Arabidopsis thaliana: one gene and its partners. The protein of the gene in region 2 interacts with the protein of the main gene of each other region in a pairwise test. Each region holds a gene or a part of one and is shown on either strand. Other genes may lie near its edges.

Region 1 (4,507 bases), on a different chromosome or scaffold from region 2:
TTTAGTTTATACTAATTTATATATCAATATTTAAAAGGTTTTTCGATGTTTTCCATACTCTTGATGGAGTAAACTGATGGTTCCTTGAAATGTGGCATGAAAAAATTGCAACACATAAAAGAATCCAAGGCCATAACATTCATCATTGGTTCACGAGTCACAGAATACAAAAATATTATATAAGAAAATGAAGTCCAAGGACAAAAGAATACAGAAAAGGACACAAATAGACTATGAGAGAGCTCTGAAGATCTTGCCTTGGAAACACAGTGAGCTCAGCCTTTGCCTGTTCTGCAGTCTGGCTCATATCATAACACATTGAACTTTAACTTCTTGTAACTTGAACGTGCAGCGATGCGTGGACGTGTAACAATCAAGAATCACACTAGTTTTTAACGTCTATCATGTAATCCGGAGAGAGATTCCTGAATCAGCATGGCTGCAAATGATTAGTTTTGCAGATTCATTGATATTAGGAATATGCAAAGGTAGCGATCAGCAAATCTAGTAAACTGACGAAAAGATTACCTGGAAAACTGCACGGCGGATGTAGTGAAAGAGTGGAGACCGTGAGGTTTGAGAATTGAGTCATTATTTCAGTGATCGTTTGATGAGAAACTTCAAGTCTTACCCCTATCTGATTATTTTCTGTCTACTGATCGTTGACCCTTGTAGCCTTCCTGAGAACCAACTTTTTGAAGATTCATCCTCTTGCTTTTTCTGACCCCCTTCACCTTTTGCTCCTCAAGAAGTTTCTGGAGCATAGGATTTCCTACGAACCCCTTTGATTTCATCTCTGAATAGATCTCTCTGGCCTTTTCAAGCCACCCACATGACAAAAGGCCCTGTATTGTAGCCAAGTAAAGAGCAGGATTAGCCACTATCTCAAAACGATCCATTTCTGCCCAGATCTTCAAAGCATTTTCTGGTTGCTTTCCCTTGAACAATTTTCCAAGAATAAGAAGAAAGGTCTCTTCTGTAGGACCTAAATCAGAGATCTTCATTTGGCCTAAAACCTCTAAAGTTTTCTCGAAATTTACAGCCTCAAGGAATGCATGAAATGTATCAACTGTTGGACTAAGGTTCTCACTAATCATGGTTGCCAATACATTCCTGGCTACGTCCAGCTTTCCAGCCTCACAAAGGGGGCGTATCATCGAGTTGTAGGTCACTGAATCTGGCTTTAATCCTTCCTCGTTCAACTTTTTCATAAGCTTCATAGCTTCATCAAAGCAATCCTCACGGGTCAACACATAAACCAAGGAATTGTAAACTTCAATCCCTGGAGCCAATCCCCGTTTCTTCATTTCATCGTATAGCCTGAGAGAATCAAAAAGGTTCCCAACTTTAGAGAAGCAAGAGATCATGTGACTGTAAGAGTCCTTGTTAGGCGTGATACAGTAATTCCCCATCTCTCGCCAAATCCTCTTTGCTTCAGTCACATCAGTCCAAATGTTACACCAACCATTAAGAATTACGTTGAATCCCTCAACATCCACCGGAAAGAGCTTTTTGCTTGCAAGCATGAACTCTTCAGCTTTTTCAATGTGGCCATGTCTACACAATGCACATAGCAATCCTTGAAATGCTTCATCATAAGGAGTGTGTTTAAACTTATCCATAATATCAAATGTCCGAATAGCTTGGCTAGTATCATTAGCAGCAGCATATCTACATCAACACCGTCACCAAGACAACCAATTCAATACCTAGCTAGTAAATCTTTCAATTTAGCACAACAAAAGAGAAACTTTTATCAAGAAGACGAAACCGAACCTGTCCATCATGAGAAACATGGCCTTTCTAGTATCCTTTGAAACATTAAACATATCACGGATCAAACACCAAGCAATGTTGAACTTTTGATGATTACCCAACACCCAGATCATCAAATCACAAGATTTCTGATCATCACAGCCGCGTTTCTCTCCCCATTTGAATGCTAGAAAGGCAAGCCTCCATTCATCTCTTAATTCCCAGATTAAGGAGTAGAAAGAATCATGATTTAGATCAAATGATGAGTCCTCCAGAGAAGCCATGGCATCCGCCTCTGACTCCAGCTCAGAGACCTGTCTGATTAAATCAATCAGACCCTTTTCTAACGGAGCCAATGCTGTTAAGTTGATATCAAATGTTTCGGAGATGGTTTTGGTGGAGAAGCGATTAGAAGAGGCAAAATGTGGGAGATAGCTTAAAACTTGAGAATGCACATGACCTGCTCGATGAAATGCTGAAGAGAAGGAATGATTTTGGGAAACTGAGCTCGAAAACGACGTCGACACTGCACGACGTAGCAGAGATTGATGCTGAACAATCCGCCATTGTGGCGTTCGCGCGAGTTTCCTACCAATGGCAACGATCGCGGCCATAGCGAGTGAGTGAGAAGGCTTAAATTAATACATTTCAAACATGGTCTTAATGGGATGAGGATATGAAGTTAATGGGGTCAAAAACGAATATATAGATAATATGGGGTCTAATATGGTAATAAACAAAGTAACACTAATATGAATGGGCCTAAATAGGGCCCATTTTAGATTTCTTTAAAAGATCCGAGAGAGAGAGGGATCTAATTCCTGATAAACCCTAGAAGAAGAAGAAGAAGAAGAAGAAGAAGAAGAAGAAGAAGAAGAAGAAGCAAAACCTGTGGAGATCGAGATGGGAAATGAGAGCAAGAGCAATTTGGGAGGAGGAGGAATTAGGGCAAAGATGGAGCACTATGTCTACAGTGGGGAGAAGAAGCACGTTTTGGCTGGGATCGGGATTATCTCCATCATCTTCGGAATCCCTTGGTATCTAATGAATCAAGGTTCGTTTTCTCTGGGCGATTTAGATTGAAATATATAAATAGATGTTTCTCTGTAGATTCCGAAATGGAAGAGGATGATGATATCAATAGCTGAAAGATTTAGAATCTAAAGTTTCTAACTTTATATTTCTTGGCAAATGCAATCAAGTGGTCGATCAAATAGAGTTTGATTATATGATAATGATGAGTCACAATGTTTATTCTGTTTGGATCATAATAGACTTGCATGATCACATTTTTTACCAAGTTTGTTTGCTTTTTCCCCTGATGATCACACATCGATTCAATTGCATAATCTCAATGGTTAAATATCTTATTTGCTATATGTGACATTTGGTAATATTCTCCTTGTTTTGTTCATTATATAGGCTAATTGTTTCTCTTATTGGCTTTTGTTGTTTGGTAAATCTGGTTTGTTTCAGGATCAAAGCATCGTTCTCACCAAGATTACTTGGAAAAAGCTGATAAAGCTCGAAAAGCTCGTCTCTCATCATCTTCATCCTCGGATAAGTAGTCATCTCCCCCCACTTGGATGGAGACTCTAGTCAACTACATTTTGTGAATGGATCCATACATCATCGTTTCCATGTCTATAAACTCAGCCATGTCTGTTCTAGAGTGTGGTTCAGTTCAGATATGTATCTTTACACTCTACACTTAGGTTTCTTTATCGAAGATATGTAAATTTGCGATAAGTTAAAGGATTCATCCTTTACGATACTGTTGTGTGAGCTGTGAGTTTCGACTAGGACAATCCATAAAGTGAAAGATCAAGATGAGTCTGGTATGGTTTGCTTAATAATCTTTCAGTAACCCAAAAAAAAAATACACGGGGTTTTATCTTGTAAAGGTCACAGGCGATTAATGTATAGATTTAAGCAACATAAACAGTAAAACAATCGTCTACGTGTCAGGGTAGTTATGTCTTCACAGAGGCATGAGTCTTCTACGTTTGTAGTACCAGAGGAATGCCAAAAATACAACAAGGCCACACACTCCAGTAATGGCTAAAACCCATTTGAAAGCACCAGGCTTTTCAAAGAAGTCTATCTCAAAATTCATCCCAAAGATCCCGGCTACAACCCCGAAGATGGCTACAACGAATGTGGCAGTAGTTAGCAGCAGCTCGAATTGGATCAGCTGATTCCGTACGTTATCCTGCAAATTCCAGAAATTTTCAGCAGATTCTTAAGGTTTTCTAAGCAAATAAGATATCTAAAAAAGATCAAGATTTCAAGGTATACCAATTGAATGTTGATGAAATCTTCGGTATCATCGATGTACTCCTTTAACTGAAGAGTAAAGAGAGTTGCAGGTGATTAAACCGCTTTTAAAAGCTGTTAAAACAAGATGATGAATGATCACAAAGGCGAGGTTTTTAGTTACCGAGGTTAGCTTGTTGAGAGTGCTGTCAATGACAACAAAGTATGCTTCCAGCAACATCTCTAGCTCCTCTATATTCTCGGTTGCGTCTTCTGAGCTCCTAGCACTGTCATGCCGGCTCCTTACAATGCTCAAGCTTTTCTCAAGTCTACGGGACTCAGGAGGAGAAGAAACAGGAGAAACTGGCGCAGACAGAGAAAAACAATCATTTGTTCGATAAACAGGTAAAGATTGATCACCATATAAAGATCCTTCCATTCTCTTCTTCTTCTCTGTTAGATACATTTCTGCCATATCCCCATCATCGTCCATTAG
Region 2 (6,061 bases):
AAGAGAACCTTATTATGAGGACTGTATACCGATTACTGACATGGATTATAGGTACCGGTCAGAGAACTCGTCTGCACATGCAATACACAACCTCAAGCACAGTCCAGAGAATGATCTTTATTGCAGAAGAAGGGGTGGATACGATTATAATTTGCATCGTGATAGATATGAAGATGGAGTTCACAGGGTAGAAAGTAGAATTCCATTTGAGCTGGCGTACAGGGAGATGCGTTCTTTTGCTGAAGTGGAAATGAGAGAATATCAAGGGTATAAAAGACATGAGGAATTCTCTGAAATAGAGAAAAGACATCATTACATTCATGATTGGCATCTTGATAGATTTGTCTCAGAGGAAGATGGTTATAAGTATAGAATCCAAGATGGTTGGTCCTCACCGTCTTTATCTTTGAGAGATTCTTGGTATACCAAAGAAGCAAAAGGTGATTTCCGGAGAGATGATACCAGAGACTTCAGAACACCTGAAGCATATGACAGCCAGAATAACCATTTTCATAAGGCTGCACCGAGAGATGGCTGGACGCAGAATCTTGGTCGTAGCCATAATGTGAGCGTAAAAGATAGACTACAGTATGATGCTGATTGGGTTGGTCCTGATAGAGGAAGATATAATATGGCAGATGACATGCAATGTTCAATGAGAGAAGTTTCTAATTCTGAGCATCCATCATATACTGATGAGATATTTGTCCGCGACATAAGAGTACCGACACATAATCGGATGGCGACCAAACAAAGGTTTGGATATTTACAGAGCCATATTCATGAAAATGATGAAAGACATCACAGATCCAAGAAGCTGAGAGGAGATGGGCATGCTTTCATCAAGCGTCAGGATCATGTTGACTTAGCTGGTAGGCAAGGAAAGGTAAAGATTGGGAAACTAAATCTACATGCTTTTAAACCTATATTTGAATGAAGTATAAACGCCTTTCAGTTATTTATATCCCTGGATTTTCTTTGTGTTATTTCTGACTGTTTTATCACTTTATATGGTCTGTCTTCTATACTTAGGTTTTATGTTGCTCACATCCGTATATTTAGACATCAGTTAGTGTACAATGAAGAACAAGACCCTTCTCATGTGATAGATATTTTGTGTGTGTGTTTCAGGTCTCTAACCAATCAAAAAAAAGATTCTCCAATGGCGGAGATACAATCGAGCAACAAGATGTTCAGAAACCAAGAAAGTTAATGGGCAAAAGCGAAGAGAAAGCTATGCAGAATCGAGATATAAATGACAAAGAAGAAGGCGAGATAATAGAAGAAGTGAAAGGTGTTGAAATAGACAATGAACGTATACAAGAGAGTCTGAAAAAGATGGAGAAACGGAGGGAGAGGTTCAAGGGAACCAAATTGGCGGTAGAAGCGACATTCAAATCTCAAACTGAACTGAGAGCTAAAGCCGATGTTACTAATCAACAGAGGCCAGTTAGAAAGAGGAGATGGTGTGCAAGTTAAAAAGATCATATTGGATGGCTTGTTTCAGGTTAACACAATAACGGTTTATTGATGGTAGGCTATATCTAAACCGATCAATTAAAAAGTGGCTAAGAAAATCACAAAACCGAACAATTGACTGTGACCTGGGTTTTTTTAAGTGATCTTGCTTGTGCATTTTTTTTTTCCCTTTTGTAAGTGTTTACGTAGAAAATTTGACTTTTTTACCAATGCTTATTTATATTTACAGTTTAGTATGTGTAATGCAAAATCAAATGATGCAGCGAAGGATCAAACCAGTGACAATTAGGGCGGAAACCGTATGATTAACGTGATAACCACTAGACCATAGTAAAATTACTTTCTTTTGAATTTAGAATCATTTTCTTGGGTCAAATAGATAACCAGATAATTTCATGAGAAAACCAGACCGAACTATACGATTTTTCAAAAATGATCAACTTTTGTATTTTTGTTTGTGGAATAATATTCGTCGGATATTGGTGAGGTGGACTCGTAGCCGTCGGATAAACACGCGGCTGATCTGAAGCGTCTCTGCAAAAGAGAAAAGAGAGCAGAGAATTCAAACCAGTTTCCATCGACGCAACGACCAATCTCCACGATTCCTCTCTTCTCTCTAACTTCCAGGTACGTTTTTCGAGAACCCAATGAAGCAATCAAAGTCCTTGGAATTCATTTGATTTTACTTTCAGGTCTTTGGATTTCTATAGAAAGAAAGATCTGTTTATTATTTGATTGGAACATGATAAGCTGCTCCGTTTCTCATATCCACTTTTGTTCAATTTATTTCAATTTGATCGATAATTGGAAAAGTACTGGATCTGGTGTATCGGAAGTTACCGGTCAAGCTATGTATGAACCCTTGTGATATTTTCACATGCGTTTATTCATTCAAATATGCTAGATTTTTAATCTGGTCAATACGTGATATCAGGGTTTCTTCAGTTGGGTAACAACTTAATCTTATTGCAGTTTTGATTTTACCAACTTGAAATTGAATTATAGTCTTACAGATACGAATTTGGAGTTTTTGTGTAGTGTATACTTGTTTTCTGGATTGCTTGTCACTTACTGTTGATTTATGGTTTGCAGAGACAAGTTGTATCCCTCGTTTGCTTTCTGCGAAACTAAGGTGCAATGGCGAAGATAAAACCGCAGGCTCTTCTAAATCAAAGCAAGAAGAAGAAGGGTCCAAGTCGCATAAGTATTTCCACTATTATTGTCTGTAATCTTGTAGTTGCTGTAGTCATATTATCGTTGGTCACAACCTATCGCCATTGGTCCCAAAGGTTTGTTTTCATCTTTGAATTGTTCCTTTTTCATTACTTCTGTTATAGTAGATTCTCCTTTTACTTTATGTGATTATCTATAAACTAAAAAGGATATCATTGGTTATATCTCCTAGGTCAAGAAACACAATTGAACATGAAACTCGGAGTCAGAGATTTGAGGTATTTTCTTGAGAGATTTTTTAATGTATAGCTTTTGAGTTTTGATCCTGATGAACTTCCGAGCACTTAGGTTTAGAGTTTAGGGTATTTACCATATGTGATCTGGCTTTGGTTTCTGCTTCAGGACACTAATACTGCGTCAGGGCAAAAAACTTACGATCTTCCTGGTTTTGCTGTAAGTTAATCTCCCTGTTTGCTTGCTTAAGTTTCTTGTTTTAATCCTTGTTCTTATTTCTCATCATGGTATTATGTTCTGTTCATCAGTTTTTGAAGTAAAAAAAATGTGATGTGTCTTATCTGAATATTGATTTTAATGATATCTTGCTTCTATTTTCCTATCTCATGTAGGATATAAACACATCAAAAGGACTTATAACTGTCGAACTCTTCAAAGAAGGTTCCCCTGAAGTTGTGGACAAGTTTCTAGATCTATGGTTAGTATTGGAATTCGTTTGTTTTCCTTTAAGTTAGATAGAAAAAGAACAGTAGAGTAATTTGATTAAGCTAGGTCATGACTTGTTCTTAAATAGGAGTATTACTTCTAGCTTGATAGGATTCAAGTAGCTTTAGTTTCTTGATTGACTGATTTTGATCCTTAAGTCCTCTTGTACTCTTCTTGGAATTTTTGTTTGGAACATGAAACCTCATTAAAGAGAAATGGGCTGAATCAGTCTGTGACGATATTGTAGCTTAATATAATAGTAGAAGTTGAACATTGAGTATTGTTGCAGTCAAAAAGATCACTTCAAGGGAATGCCGTTTCAGCGGGTTATAAAGAACTACTTGGTACAAGCTGGTCACTCACCGAGCTCTATACCTGTAGAAGAATGGACAGCTAAAGGAAAGCTCAGAGGTCGCCTTCACATTGGGTATAACTTGCTTGCTCTGCTTTTGGCTTTTAAGTGTCAATGTTTATCATCTCTCGCTGGTTTTAAAAAATAAAAAACTACATATGTTCTGTTACAGCCCAAAACATGAGGCATTCATGTTGGGAACACCAAAAAACAAAGGGAACAACAAGGATTTTGAGCTTCTGATCACAACGGCCCCAATCCCGGATCTGAATGATCAACTTATAGTGTTTGGAAGAGTCCTTAAGGGAGAGGATGTAGTACAGGTTTGATCCAACTAAGCACAGTCTATCAGCTTGAATGGTTTGTTTAATAGTTTCATGTGTTAAAAGATTAAATCATATTATTACAGGAGATCGAAGAAGTGGATACGGATGAGCATTTCCAACCGAAATCGCCAATAGGGATCACTGGTGTTGTACTGAAACTAGAGACATGAAATGAAAATTTCTCTTCCTTGCTTCCTCTGTAAATGAGGCTCACGCCAAATCCTTCTTCATACTCGCTCTTTTGTATAAATCCTCTTTTGAGGTTTTTTCTTTCTTTCTATTTTACAGTTTCTTGTTGTTTTGTAATTTTATTTGATTTTTCTCGAGGAAATAGAATCTTTGTTTAATTATGCTTCTGATACTTGAGCAAATACATGAACTGATTTTAGAGAATTTTATCCTGTTATGATAGAAAAACTTCTGTATTATACCCGTTAAGTACCATAAAACTATTAGAGAAAAAGAGAGGTCTTTTAAAATTTATATGAGAAGATATGGAGAACAATCTGAAAAACCAGAAACAAATCCTTTAAGAATTCTTAAAAATCTCTACAAGATTTCTTTTAAAAACTCTAAAATAATTCTTAAACAATTCTTAAGGAATTCTTAAATTATTCATAGAATACAATTACAAAAATACTGTATTTTTGTTTTAGGTAATATTTAATAATTTGGAATAAGATATATAGGACATACATCAAATTATGTATTTTGATACTATTTTGACTAAAACTTAAAAATGTTAAAAACACATTTATAAATATGTTAATTAGTTGGTGTACTCTTATGTATTTTTTTCTAATTAAAGATAAATATCTAGAGTGTGTAGACAAAATCTATAATAATATAAGAGAAAAAAAAACAAATAACGCTTTAAAATTTCATATCGTAATCATTATCAATTTTGTAGAGTAGGAGATATTGTTATAATTCATTGTTTTTGAAAAGAGAAAATCTTCATAGTAATATTTGGCAACCGAAAGTTACAAACCATCGATCATCAAGAGGAAGATACAATCAATAAACCTGTACCAACCATCTGCTACATCTCTACCATATAAATCTATAACGACTAATACAAAATGAAAGTTCCAAATCGGTGTTGTTACTGTTGCCTTCTCATTTGCATAACTGCTAATTATCATTAGAGAGAAACATGAGAGAAGACGAAGCCTGCATATGACTAATGTTACTTTGGATCCCACAGCTTATTTTCTTAATCTTAGCCTCAAATTCCTTGAGTTCCTCAAGCGTAAGCTCCTCAATGGGCTTATTGAACTTATCCTGTTCAGCAGATTCAAGCCACTTGTGAAGATCTTCACCATGTTTCTTCTCAGCTTCAGCTTCTTCAGTAATCGAGTTGAGGCGTTTACATATCTTCTTCTCCTGTCTAGCTCTATTGCCTCTACTATAGCCTGATGTTTCACAGCTATCTCCTTCTTCTTCTTCTTCGAATTCATTCTTAAACCGTTCTGCAATCACATCAAAATTCGGTTTCCCGAAGGAATACGGTTTGTTTCCTGGAGAAAAGACAACAATACCAACCTCCGCGTTGCACAGAGTCGCAAGCTCGCTCGCTTTCTTGAACAAACCCAGCCTACGTTTTGAGAAGGTAACTTGCTTCGTGTTTGTGTCTTGCACTTTCTCCATCTTAATCTTTCTCCTACCCATTTCTTTTTTTTTGTGTGAAATGTTTTGAGTGATTGTAATCTATGTTTGTGTATATAAGAAGAAGATTGTATTTCTTTATGTATTTATAGTAATGAATGTGGAGAAAGTTGTTATTGAACCTCATCATCATATATGTATATTTTTAGTAAACTTTTGTTTTTGCATATATATACATATTTAGTAACTCCACTTTGAAAATCTTGCATTACCTTATGAGAGCATTGAATATTTTCCATGTATTTAATCAATATTCATAGATATTTAACTATTATTAGTATTATCTTACTATTAGACCTCTTATTAAATGGTAGTTTGAATTACAAGGAGAACTTTACCAAGT
Region 3 (6,085 bases), on a different chromosome or scaffold from region 2:
TGTTACGTTCCATACTAATATTGTAGGTGATAAAATGCACTTACCTCTCTTGATGTTCATAAGTTATAGGACAATAAAAGCCTTTTGGTAAAGAAAAGAGAGAGAGATACTATTATTGAATGGATTATTGCAAAACTTTAGTACCCTAATTGATTTAAGGAACGTACTATTTGCTTCACTGAAAATGATTCATTGCCATCCATAATATTCTTTTGATATCTTCTGCTCTAACTTGGATATATGTTAGCCAAAAACAATAAAAACATCTCGATCACGTGCAAAGATCTTGAAATAGATATGTCTCTCTATTTTTTAATGTCTATGAAAGGACGTAACAAGTTTCTCTTCTATTTCGCATTTGGTAATACATTAATGTTTTAAGAAGACATTTGCCCAAGTTGCTAATTTTTTCTTTTTTTCCTGATGAATATTCAATGCATCTATGGCTTTGACAAAAAAAGAGATAAAAAATGAAGGAAACAAAATAACCAATGCATGTAAGTAATAATACTCTTCTCGCAAATGAAAACAAAACCTCGAACAATCAATTTACTAGCTATGCGCTAGGGCCAAGCTACTATACTAGGCACTAGGTCCGATTTATTCAGAATCAGTTTTGATATGGATATTGGTCGGATTCGTTCAACCCACTGATTCCAATTTGGTTTTGAAAAACAATGTTCGGCCATTTGCATCCAGAGTTATTTAAATCACGAAAAATATAGTTTGCTATTTATCATATACATACGGAATTTGCATGTTAACACTATTGATCAACTAGATTTTTCTAATGTTATATTTTTTTTGGTGGGGAAGTATTGAACTTACCTTACCACTCTTTTTCGATTCAAATACTAAGAATCACATTTATCAGTTGTGAGTTTAGCTAAATATGTGGGTGGTTTTAAATTTGTGAGTATTAAATTTGTCATTTCTATCACAAAACAATGGGAGAAAAAAACGAAAAACTAGTTTCCCGACATTAAACATGCGAATTACTGAAACATGGATAGGTCCACCATTTTTGCCATTTGACAAGCTCGGTCTCTTGTTTTCCTTGTTCATAAATGATTTTAGTTTGTTTGCTTTTTTAAACGCATCTTTCTATCACTTTTTTCTTTTGGTTGCAAATATGTCGTTTTCTCTCCTCCCTCCTTTTCCGGGATTTAACTTATCACAATGTAATGAAATTTGCATGTTCCTCTCTCGCCATTGGCAAGTTCCATTGCGATGTCTCTATCGATAGGTCAAACAATCCAAAAGAACCAAAACCTTTTTTCTTTTCTTTTCCACTCACATTTAATCTAGGGACCCTTTAATCTTATTCATTTTCTCAACGATAATGTAAAAAAGTATAGTTAGTAAACTGTTAACTGTGTAGATTATACATGTTTTTTAATCAATCATATAATTAGAAGGGGTATTTAGCCGTCCAAAAGCTGTTTTCGCGTGACTATGCATGAAACCCACTTACGTAGCCTCCAACGTAACGACCAATAAAAAGCTCTAACTTAGGAACATTACAACGAACTAATATTTAATAAGTTATATAAGGTCATGAAATGAAATCTTATAACGTATCTAACAACTCACATGATCTATACCATGTCACATTTTTTATCAAACATATGTTAACCACCTAAGCACTAACACTACTCTTTGATCAAACTTATATTTCGCATATACTCCAAAAGAAACCAAGTGGCATATTGGCATATCTCGTAATGTGGTGCCAAAAATGCTTATCAACTTAATTATAGTTCAGATATTGTCTCCGTATCGTATCTTAATATTTGTATTCAACAATAGGTATTATGTTGTATTAGCTAGGTGTGATTTGTAACGAGAAGAGATATCTCGTTCTATTGTGAGGTAAAAATAAAATAAAGCAGTACAAGAACATAACGGTATAAACGGTTTTTACTGTTAAAAAACTTGTAATTGTTTATGTACCAACCCTATTGATTGTGTTTAAGAAATTATTTTTAAATCTTGAGATTCTTATTCAAATATAAACATTGAAGATCGATATTGCTCAATATCACAATAATCTTTCTAAGTTATGAAAAGAACGTCTACTACTATTTGTTTAAAACTACATAGGACAACATCAAATCAGTTTTGAAATTCATTGTAAAATTCTTTTAATACTAAAATTGTTTACAGTTAATGAGAAATTACAATATTATTTTTAGCAGATTATAATTAGAAAATACATTATTATTATTGATCAATTTACCTTGCAGTTCCACGCAAAACCAACAAAATAACAAATAACAAAGCATTGTGTGGAATGACGTAAGGATGAGTCAGCAGACAAGGAGTGAGATCGAATCGGGTCAAGATTATCTGGTTGGGACCCGTCACATGCACATGGACCCTCTCCCGTACCTAATCCAGGTTAAATAATCTTGATTTTCTGTTTAATTACCTTAAAAACACATTATTATTGAAACTAATAATAAATCTCGGATCTTTGGTTCCGACCATACTTGCGAAAGATCATTGCTTTAATGCTAATGTTTCTCTAATTTTGATATTCCTTGAGATTAGATTCCCTTTGCATTGTCTTTTCTTGTTAATTTGTTAGGGTTCATATTCTTACATTATTTTTTTTGGCAAAGAAAAAAACATTTATAAACATATCTAATTCGAGCCTGATCTATTAATGGGTCAAATAAAAGCCTCTTTGGCCCAATTCAATAAACTGGCCAACTGGGGATCATCATAGAGACAGACTACTAGAGAGTAGAGACGCATCAGAAAGAAGAGAAATTGATCCCACAAGTTTAAACACGATTACAAATTAAAACGTGCCACGTATTCAAGACGGTGAATTAACACGACGTGGCAAGGTATGATTGGATAACTTACGCAGCTGCCTAACAAAAACAAGTGATTTGAGTTTTCAGATGATTAGAAGGAAAAAAAATTCTGGAACTTTCGAGCTTCTGTTTTGCGGTGCTCTCAAAGCTTATATCGGATCTCGAATCTTGAATCGGACTCAGAACCTCGGATCTTCGAAAATCGACGAACATGTCTTCTCCTGGCGAGTGAGTTCCGTTCCCCTCTATTGAAACTTTGCTTCGATTCGATTTTGATCGAGAGATTCTTAGCTTGGTCTTCGTACCCAGGATTTTGAGTCCTTAGGTTAATAATTTTCATGATTCGTTTAGCTTGTATAGGGGTTTTTGAAGCATTCAACTGTTGATTCTTCTCAATTCGAGCGTAATTTTGCAACACCAAGCGAGTTCTGTGAACTTGAGCTAACGCTATTTTTAGTATATAGTTATCAATTTGCATTGTCATCATTTGATATTTTGGTGATTTGAGATGTAAAGAAACATCTTTTATGCCATGGAAGTTAGTACAAGTCAACTGGTAGTTAGTTCTTGAAATATGGAATCTCATAGTGTCTTGAAGCAAAACTGTTCTCGTTTGCTGTATCATAGTTACAAGGCTACTTTGATTCTCCTAGCTACGATAGTCTAAAATATCTCTGCGTAGGCTTGTCTCTTGTGGTAAAGTTTTATGCTTTAGCTGATCTTGATGACATTTCCTGATTAGAAATTTATAGATGGATGGAATATGTATGATTTTGATTGTTTATCTGTCAAATTGTTTCTTAGATCGCTTGTTATTGATTGCAGATTCTATAACTCACTTCCACCTATAACCAAGGCTTATGGTACGTTGTGCTTTTTCACTACAGTAGCCACGCAGCTTGGCTTAGTTGCTCCCGTTCACATTGCTTTAATTCCTGAACTTGTACTTAAGCAGTTCCAGGTATATGATTTATTCTTTTTTATGATTTTCCTTTCTTTCTCACAAATCTCTGTCATCCTAAGTTCCTAATTCATTCTGCAATTTTTGATCTATTTGGTGTTTGTAGATCTGGAGGCTGATAACAAACTTGTTTTTCCTCGGTGGTTTCTCTATCAATTTTGGAATACGTCTTTTGATGATGTGAGCATACTATTTTCACATATATAGATGAACAAAGCTAATTTCGATTTTTATTATCTTAACATACTCTTTTAAATGATTGTGCAGAGCAAGATATGGAGTTCAACTCGAGAAAGGGCCATTTGAAAGGCGGACAGCAGACTTTTTGTGGATGATGATCTTTGGATCCTTCACTCTATTGGTATGTAAAGCCTCCCCTGTATTCTATTCTTACTGATCATTGTTATTGGTTCTTTGAGAACCCCAGTACTAGTATGTGGTATGCCACAAAGTAGATAATCGCTGGTACATAATATCCCAAAGCTGAGAAGATCAGAAGCTCTCAAAGAATTGAATCAGGGTTGCATTTTATTAAAGCGAGACAAAATTTTGGAAGGTATTCATACTAGTAAATCCGTGTGTTAAAACAGTTACCTTGTTCAAATTTCAGGTATTATCAGTCATACCATTTTTCTGGACACCGTTTCTTGGTGTTTCACTTGTGTTCATGCTTCTTTATCTCTGGAGCCGAGAATTTCCAAATGCCAACATCAGCCTATACGGTCTTGTCACTCTTAAGGTATTGAAAGTGTTTCTTTTGTAATCAAATCCACTCCTTGGTATATATAATGTTAATGGTGAAAGTTGGAATTACTCCACAGGCTTTCTACCTCCCATGGGCAATGCTAGCACTTGATGTTATCTTCGGTTCTCCGATCATGCCAGATCTTCTTGGCATCATAGCTGGACATCTATACTACTTCCTAACAGTCCTTCATCCTCTTGCTACCGGAAAAAACTACCTGAAAACCCCAAAATGGGTGTATCCTTTATTCAAATTCTCGATTATTTCCAGATGATTGTTTCTCTCGCTTCTCAGTTTTTGTTTTGCTGTTGTACCTTGACATTCTCAACAGTAATAAAATCGTAGCAAGATGGCGAATTGGAGCTCCAGTTGCAAGTGTTCGACAAGCAGGTGGTGTAGGAGCAGCAGGACCCGGAGCTGGAGGAGGAGTAGGAGGAGGAGGAGCTTATTCAAGCGCTCGTGCCCCACCCGAGAGTTCAAACACAGCATTCAGAGGTCGATCATATCGTCTCACCGACTGAAATAGAAATCTTCTCGAGTTTCTTTGTTTTCATCATATCAAATCTTTTTCAAACAATGCCACTAACTAATCCCAGGTAGCTTTGTGTTTTCGAACAGTACAGTTTTTGAATATATGACTCTGTAGGAAGAATCTTTGAGGTTTTAATACAATGTTCTTTTCAAAATGTGGTTCATGTTTCTATGTTTTTGTTTTTGTCTAGCAATCATCTCCTTACTAAATTGAATTCGATAAACTATAGCCACTATGAATATAATCAAATGAAATTTGTGACATAAGAATTTGGACGTAACGAGTTTGAATATCTATCTAGATAAGTTATTAAATTCGTGACCAAAGAGTTTGGTCGTAACAAGTTTGAATTTTTTAGGACATAATATTATTATTGGCTAACAAGATTACGACTAACGAGTAAATAATCATTCCTTCGGTCCTTCCTCTAAAATGCCGTTGGTGATCGTTTATAAATAGGGGAAATAGGAAAAGGGAAGAAAGTAGACGTGGCAAATAGCGAAACAATGATTGAGCTATAACAAAGGCGAAACTTGAGCGGCACTAATTGAAAATCACTCCTTGTTTTTTTGAAGAAAAAGTAAGATGTAGGGCTGAGAATTCGTCTATGTGATCCAACGGTTTTAAAATGATCCTTGTTCCTTCCTCTCCTATTTATCTGAAGGACGAAGTCCCCACGCTGCACATAACCGGGGCACTTAACGTATAGATCATAAACAAAGAAGAAGAAAAAAAATAAGAAAAGAAGAAGAAGATGTCGTGGCAAACTTACGTTGATGAGCATTTGATGTGTGATGTTGGCGATGGTCAAGGACACCACCTTACTGCTGCCGCTATCGTTGGTCATGACGGTAGCGTTTGGGCTCAGAGCGCCAACTTCCCTCAGGTATTTGATTTCATTGCGTCTGATCTCAATGTGATTTAGATCCTGATAGTGTTGCTATCCGATATGATATGTGTTTTTACAATGTGATTTAGATCATGCATCATGTTTTGATTAGATTCTATCAATGTTTGTCATG
Region 4 (5,707 bases), on a different chromosome or scaffold from region 2:
AAGCAGATGTGATTTGAGACATACTAAATCAAGAAACTATTCCAGTGCAACCATGAACTAAAGAGCATACCAGCAGAACAGTTAAGTAGGAATCCATCAGATAGAGATATAAAGAACAAAGTAACTAAAAATTGTTCGAGTTCTCCTTTTCTATCTTCTAGAAGGATCTTAATTGTAGGAAATAGAATGTTTCAGATTAAGCATACTACCGAAAAAATCCGGAGTTTGAATTGCAGCAATAGTTCTGAAATTTGAATGAAATATGTATAACTTACATAAGCACGCCGTTTCTGATATAAAGCTTCATATGCTCGATGCATTGTCTGGAAACAGATATAACCAGCATTAAGAATTCCATTGGACCTTGCACAGCCTGAGAGAGCAAACCAAAGAACGCCTACATTGCTGGTACCAGATAACAAGTGATACACTCCTCCAATAGAGAAAAGAGCATACAAACTTTCTGAATATCTGAAAGTCACAAAGAAACAGTTTGGTCTTCAGTTAGTTACCATTCTGATAAGACTGAACATATTTACTTTCAGCAAATGAACTTAAGAGATCATTGGCTTAAACACATTACATTGACGAATAAAATATGGACGCCGGATTGAAACAGAAGATAATCGAAGCTCTGAATGATGCTTCAGTATCCTTCAAGATAATAACTGAAACCCTGTTAGCAACGACTGGTGTAAGACACGGTGAATAGCAAACAGCATTAGCTTGTAGAGCTCAAAAGACTCTTGACTTGACTTATTTCTAGACACAATAATCGATTTAGGATGAATGTCAAAGAAGTACCTAAATAGATAGATAGCAGCAAATATGAACGCCAAGTTACTAACAGTGAAACCAGACAACACCATCACAGCTCGAAGACCAATCAATGGAACCAAAGGCGCAAAAACTGAATCCAAAAAGAATCAGTTACTACCGGAATGATACAACCAAAGTAAGGAATCAAGTGGGTAGATGTCTAAATTACAAAACCTGTGCGAGAGAGAAGCGAGATGAAGAAAGGAAGCAGAGGCAAGAAGGCGTAAGTCTGCTCATACTCATAGCCACACTCTGTGATTCGGAGAAAATAAACACTGTCCCAGACAACACTGTTCTCAAGGGATCTCGAAGCTGCATTGGCTACTAGAAACGGAAAAGAATCTTCTTTGTGATACAAGCAAGGAGGATTCAGTGCAGCGGATGTATCGTACGGTTGGAGTAAGCTCCGCCACAAAATGGTTAAGAAGAGAACGAGAAGTCGCGAGAAGATGGCGTATTTGATCAAGATGGTTTCTTTCCTTGATTTCGAGTTTGATTCCAAAGCTTTCGCCATTGATCACGAGCTCGTATTCGAGTATAAAAAGGCGACAGATGGTTCTCGATTGCAAGAGTCCGGTGACGATTTGTGATTTTCGATCTTCTCGTCGGAGAAGAATGTGTTACTCTCTAAATGTAAAAGAGAGTTTCAATTTAATAAATGAACCGGTCGGTTCAATAAAAGGGAAAGTCACCGGTTTTAGAAAATTGTTCCGGTATTATCCGGGTCATTAAGACGCTTTGATCGGTTCAATCCAGTTTTAAAAACGCTAAGATGAATGTAGCGTTTGTGAAGCTAATTAAACGAGCCACGTCATCAAGACATGTCAACAAAACGCGTCATAAGCCCAATCACGTGAGGGCTGGTAATTGGTAATCGCAAAACGTAGATCGCCATAAATTAAATTTCGAACAGACAAAAAAAGAAAAGAAAATCAATAAATAATCATTTAGTCCCTTTGTTTGATAAACCCTTTAATTGAAAAAAAAAACAAATTACTTCTCTTTCCTTCGATCATCGTCTTCCTCTGGTTCTCAGATCTTTGAATCGAGCAGAAGCAATTTTAAATCTCCTATCAGGTTTCTCTAAATCCATGCTCAAGTCTAATTTTACGTTTTACATTTGTTCAATTTTGTATGAGATTTGCTTCCGTTTGGGATCGGAACTTTGAGAACGTTCTGAAGATATTACTTTACTGTGTAGCTCTTGAATCAATTTTTCCGTTTGATGTCTTGTATTGATGTTGTTATTAGATCGTTAATTTTCTTTCCGTAGATGATGAATGTGGATTATGCTGAAATTCGTTATAAACTTTGGATTTGATGGTGGTGAATTGTCACAATGTAGAAAACGAAAGCTTTTGATTATAGAATTTTCTTTGAGGTTGATGTTCTCTGCTATATTTGAATCTCACGTTTGAATAGTTCGTCTTGTTCAATATCTGAATGCAAATAGAGATAAGCTATTTCGAACACTCATTGTTGAAAAATCAAAATAATTCATCTTCTTAGAGTATTGTGTGTTCTTACAGAACCCAAGTTTTAAGCATCTGTGTTTCAATTACCTGGCTTACATGTTCTGTCTTGATGATAAATATTGGTTTTGTGATTTTAGTGAGTTGCAGGATTCATATTCTTGTTTTGAAATTTGTGATAATTGCAGTGAATTTTTATTACTGGAGAAGTAATAAGGCAAAGATGGTGAAAATGACATTGATAGCTCGTGTTACTGATGGGTTACCTCTAGCTGAGGGGCTCGATGATGGACGTGACTTACCGGATTCAGATATGTATAAACAACAGGTCAAAGCTTTGTTTAAGAATCTGTCCAGAGGTCAAAATGACGCTTCAAGAATGTCCGTTGAAACTGGCCCCTATGTTTTCCAGTATCCTTAACCTCTGGTTTTTTCTTCATTCCTTATTAGTTCAGTTTCTGCTGCAAAAGTTTGTTGATTGATAGATATAATAAGGATTGTAGAAAGTTTACTTTGATTTACTTAAGATTCACACTTTTGACATCCTTGTACATTTTTACCAGTTTTTGGCTTAGTACACGTTTCAATCCTCTTGCATTATGTTTGAAATCTACGTTGTCATATTAGTATGCTTGTATCTCAAAGCTAAAGTTTAAGAAAGACCAGATATGTATGCTTCCTTGACCAGAAAACTTTAGTTACATCATAGAAGGACGTGTTTGCTACTTGACAATGTGTGACCGCTCTTACCCAAAGAAACTCGCTTTCCAATACCTGGAAGATCTCAAGAATGAATTTGAACGTGTCAATGGGCCTAACATTGAAACAGCTGCTCGGCCTTATGCCTTTATTAAATTTGGTATGTGTAGTGTAGATTTTTCTGTACATTCAGTATCTTGGAAACATACCTCTCTGGATTCACTCTTTTTCCACTTTGCCTTTTTTTGTAGATACATTCATACAGAAAACCAAGAAACTGTACCAAGACACTCGTACGCAACGAAACATCGCCAAGTTGAATGATGAACTCTATGAGGTTCATCAAATAATGACCCGGAATGTGCAAGAAGTCTTAGGTGTTGGTGAAAAGCTGGACCGTAAGTCAACATCCATTACTTCTCCTATGATCATTATTTAAGCTTTTAGAATAAGGAGAAATGGAACACTAGTTTTGCGTTTGTTATAATCAGCTGAGCAATATGCTTATCATTTGCCATTTTCTCTTCTTGTTTTTTCTTAATGCAGAGGTGAGCGAGATGTCGAGCCGGTTAACATCTGAATCTCGTATATATGCTGATAAGGCTAAAGATTTGAACCGTCAGGTGAGTTTGATTGTATATTACCTTATATTACACATTGCAACATTGATCACACGGCTATGAGATGCTCTCATTCCTTGTGAGCTTGACATATTGTAGCTTAGATAGTTAACATATGGTTATGAAACATTGAATTTGGTTGACCAGGCTTTGATCCGAAAATGGGCACCAGTCGCAATTGTGTTCGGTGTAGTCTTCCTCCTTTTCTGGGTCAAGAACAAGCTATGGTAAAAAAAAAAGGAGGAATCTAAGGCTATTTTCGTAATTTAGCGGACTTCTCCAGACATATGTCGACCTCCCCTACCGGACTCAAGTCTCAGATTCCGGCACCCAAAATATCTTCTTTCTTTCAAAGAGAAACTTTGACACATTTTGTACTTCTGTAGTATGCAAACTTTATGAGACTGGTCATAGTATCATCCATTATACTCTTTTCAAACCTTCATTGTCATTTTCTCAGGCTTCTTTTAAATTGAATTAGAACCACAATTAAAGTAAAACGGATTGGGTTTGATTTCATACATATATCTAACAAAATCTGAAGAGTTTACACAGGCTATTTTAGCGTCTATGTGACCTCAAATGTCTCTTAAAATCTTGTGGACCAGCCAAATCTAATGAGGAAGTGTTCTTCAACTCATCTGAAAGCTGCAATGCACTCTGAAAATCTCCTGACTTCTTCAGACAATCGATTAAAGCTCGGTAGACATAAACCGATGGTCGAATCTGTCTCTGCTTCATCTCATCGAAAAGCCTCAACGATTCCTTAACGTTCCCAGATCGACCCAAACTGTCTATCACCGCTGTATAACTTAGCAAATCTGGTTCAATTCCACATTGAACCATTTCATTGTATATCACCAAACACATATCGAATCTACAAGCTTTCCTCATCCCGTTTAACACCGTGTTGTAAGTAATGATGTTTACAGATACACTACAATCTTCCTTCATCGTTGACAAAACCCCCAGAATCTCATTCACAAGGCCAGCTCGTCCCAAGATATCCAAAACCGAGTTATATGTGATCACATCTGGTTTACATTCCCACTCTTTCATCTCCTTAAGTATCATAAGAACCTTATCGATCTGTCTAGTTTCAGCAAATGCAAAGATGATTCTGTTCATTACTATTAACCTATACGGAAGTGAAGACTCTGATATCTCTTTAAGCAGACTCGTCAAATACGTGCAATCATCCGTGTTAATGAATGCTCTAGCAAGGTTGAGATAACAATCTGAACTCAATGGTTCCTTACCCGGCAAGATCAAGACCTCTCTGAAGACTCTACAAGAAAGCTTCATATCGTTCAGCTCACCCGCCGCTGCAAGAAGGTTCTTGAAAACCGAAATAGGCAAACATATGTTCTTTTCTTGTAAAGACTGTAACAAGTCATATGCTCCAGAGAGATTTCCATCTCTTGTAAACTTCTCAACAAGATTCGTATAATCGATTTTGCTGATGATCTTTGAACCACTTTCACTATGGTTAACGATCTTCTTCAAGAGTTCTTCCTCGTCTTCTTCTCCAGTGTTTATCAAAGAGTGCATACCAGAGAACGAGCAGCTCCAGCTCAAATCAGCTGGAACTAACATCATATGTTTCTGCAATGCCAATAAACAGAAAACCAAATCATCAATTTGCAGAATCACCATCAATCATCAACTTCCACATATAACTATGAACAATGTAAATCTATAAAAATGGATTTCTCAGTTTTCGAGATGACTACAAAAAAACTCACACATTTAATCAGAAAACTTCGTAATCAAACACTAGCTGAAGCGTGAAAGCCCCGAAACTAAAAAACGATCAAACTCAGAAGAACAGCAATGGTTCGAAATTTCGCATCTTCATCGAATCAAACATTGATAGAAGAAACTCGCTGAGCAGTAACAATCAGAAAACAACAACGAGAGCATAACATGAATCACGAAAACGGTTCTGGATTTTTGGAATTCATACCATAGAAATGAAGGAACCTCCATAGACGGGGATTCTCTTAACGATCGACCACTTCATCATCTTCCTCGGTAATCTATCTCCTCTCTGCTTGTGACATTTTTCAGATTTTTGATTTCTGAGGGAATTAGTTT

The links.
Region 1: the proteins of AT3G66654 (region 2) and AT1G80890 interact in a protein complementation assay, tested with the Arabidopsis thaliana proteins (one large-scale study listed by BioGRID).
Region 3: the proteins of AT3G66654 (region 2) and DER1 interact in a protein complementation assay, tested with the Arabidopsis thaliana proteins (one large-scale study listed by BioGRID).
Region 4: the proteins of AT3G66654 (region 2) and SEC22 interact in a protein complementation assay, tested with the Arabidopsis thaliana proteins (one large-scale study listed by BioGRID).

What each region holds. Positions count from the first base shown.
Region 1 is NC_003070.9:30,394,553-30,399,059, forward strand, and holds AT1G80890 (GAG1At protein), read left to right. Parts: upstream 1-2,575; 5' UTR 2,576-2,658; coding exon 2,659-2,809; exon of another isoform or gene 2,810-3,231; coding exon 3,232-3,323; 3' UTR 3,324-3,658; downstream 3,659-4,507. Other genes in the region: AT1G80880 (Tetratricopeptide repeat (TPR)-like superfamily protein), read right to left, coding at 642-1,671, 1,777-2,369; MGT1 (magnesium transporter 1), read right to left, coding at 3,737-3,967, 4,054-4,101, 4,196-4,507.
Region 2 is NC_003074.8:2,086,078-2,092,138, forward strand, and holds AT3G66654 (Cyclophilin-like peptidyl-prolyl cis-trans isomerase family protein), read left to right. Parts: upstream 1-1,838; 5' UTR 1,839-2,106; exon of another isoform or gene 2,107-2,571; 5' UTR 2,572-2,616; coding exon 2,617-2,768; intron 2,769-2,884; coding exon 2,885-2,930; intron 2,931-3,054; coding exon 3,055-3,105; intron 3,106-3,278; coding exon 3,279-3,364; intron 3,365-3,661; coding exon 3,662-3,799; intron 3,800-3,896; coding exon 3,897-4,047; intron 4,048-4,133; coding exon 4,134-4,220; 3' UTR 4,221-4,464; downstream 4,465-6,061. Other genes in the region: AT3G66652 (fip1 motif-containing protein), read left to right, coding at 1-886, 1,132-1,479; AGL91 (AGAMOUS-like 91), read right to left, coding at 5,185-5,721. UniProt on the Arabidopsis thaliana protein: PPIases accelerate the folding of proteins. It catalyzes the cis-trans isomerization of proline imidic peptide bonds in oligopeptides.
Region 3 is NC_003075.7:14,441,901-14,447,985, forward strand, and holds DER1 (DERLIN-1), read left to right. Parts: upstream 1-2,652; 5' UTR 2,653-3,036; coding exon 3,037-3,053; intron 3,054-3,650; coding exon 3,651-3,786; intron 3,787-3,892; coding exon 3,893-3,966; intron 3,967-4,053; coding exon 4,054-4,147; intron 4,148-4,396; coding exon 4,397-4,525; intron 4,526-4,607; coding exon 4,608-4,768; coding exon of another isoform or gene 4,769-4,805; exon of another isoform or gene 4,806-4,862; coding exon 4,863-5,052; 3' UTR 5,053-5,337; downstream 5,338-6,085. Other genes in the region: PRF4 (profilin 4), read left to right, coding at 5,818-5,949. UniProt on the Arabidopsis thaliana protein: May be involved in the degradation process of specific misfolded endoplasmic reticulum (ER) luminal proteins.
Region 4 is NC_003070.9:4,008,995-4,014,701, forward strand, and holds SEC22 (Synaptobrevin family protein), read left to right. Parts: upstream 1-1,762; 5' UTR 1,763-1,896; intron 1,897-2,065; exon of another isoform or gene 2,066-2,479; 5' UTR 2,480-2,514; coding exon 2,515-2,702; intron 2,703-2,989; coding exon 2,990-3,150; intron 3,151-3,241; coding exon 3,242-3,388; intron 3,389-3,536; coding exon 3,537-3,613; intron 3,614-3,757; coding exon 3,758-3,841; 3' UTR 3,842-4,110; downstream 4,111-5,707. Other genes in the region: AT1G11880 (transferases, transferring hexosyl groups), read right to left, coding at 276-471, 584-676, 805-910, 994-1,333; AT1G11900 (Tetratricopeptide repeat (TPR)-like superfamily protein), read right to left, coding at 4,172-5,215, 5,577-5,636. UniProt on the Arabidopsis thaliana protein: V-SNARE involved in vesicle trafficking from the ER to the Golgi complex and required for early secretion. Involved in endoplasmic reticulum (ER) biogenesis and functions as well as for Golgi-stack integrity. Essential for gametophytes development.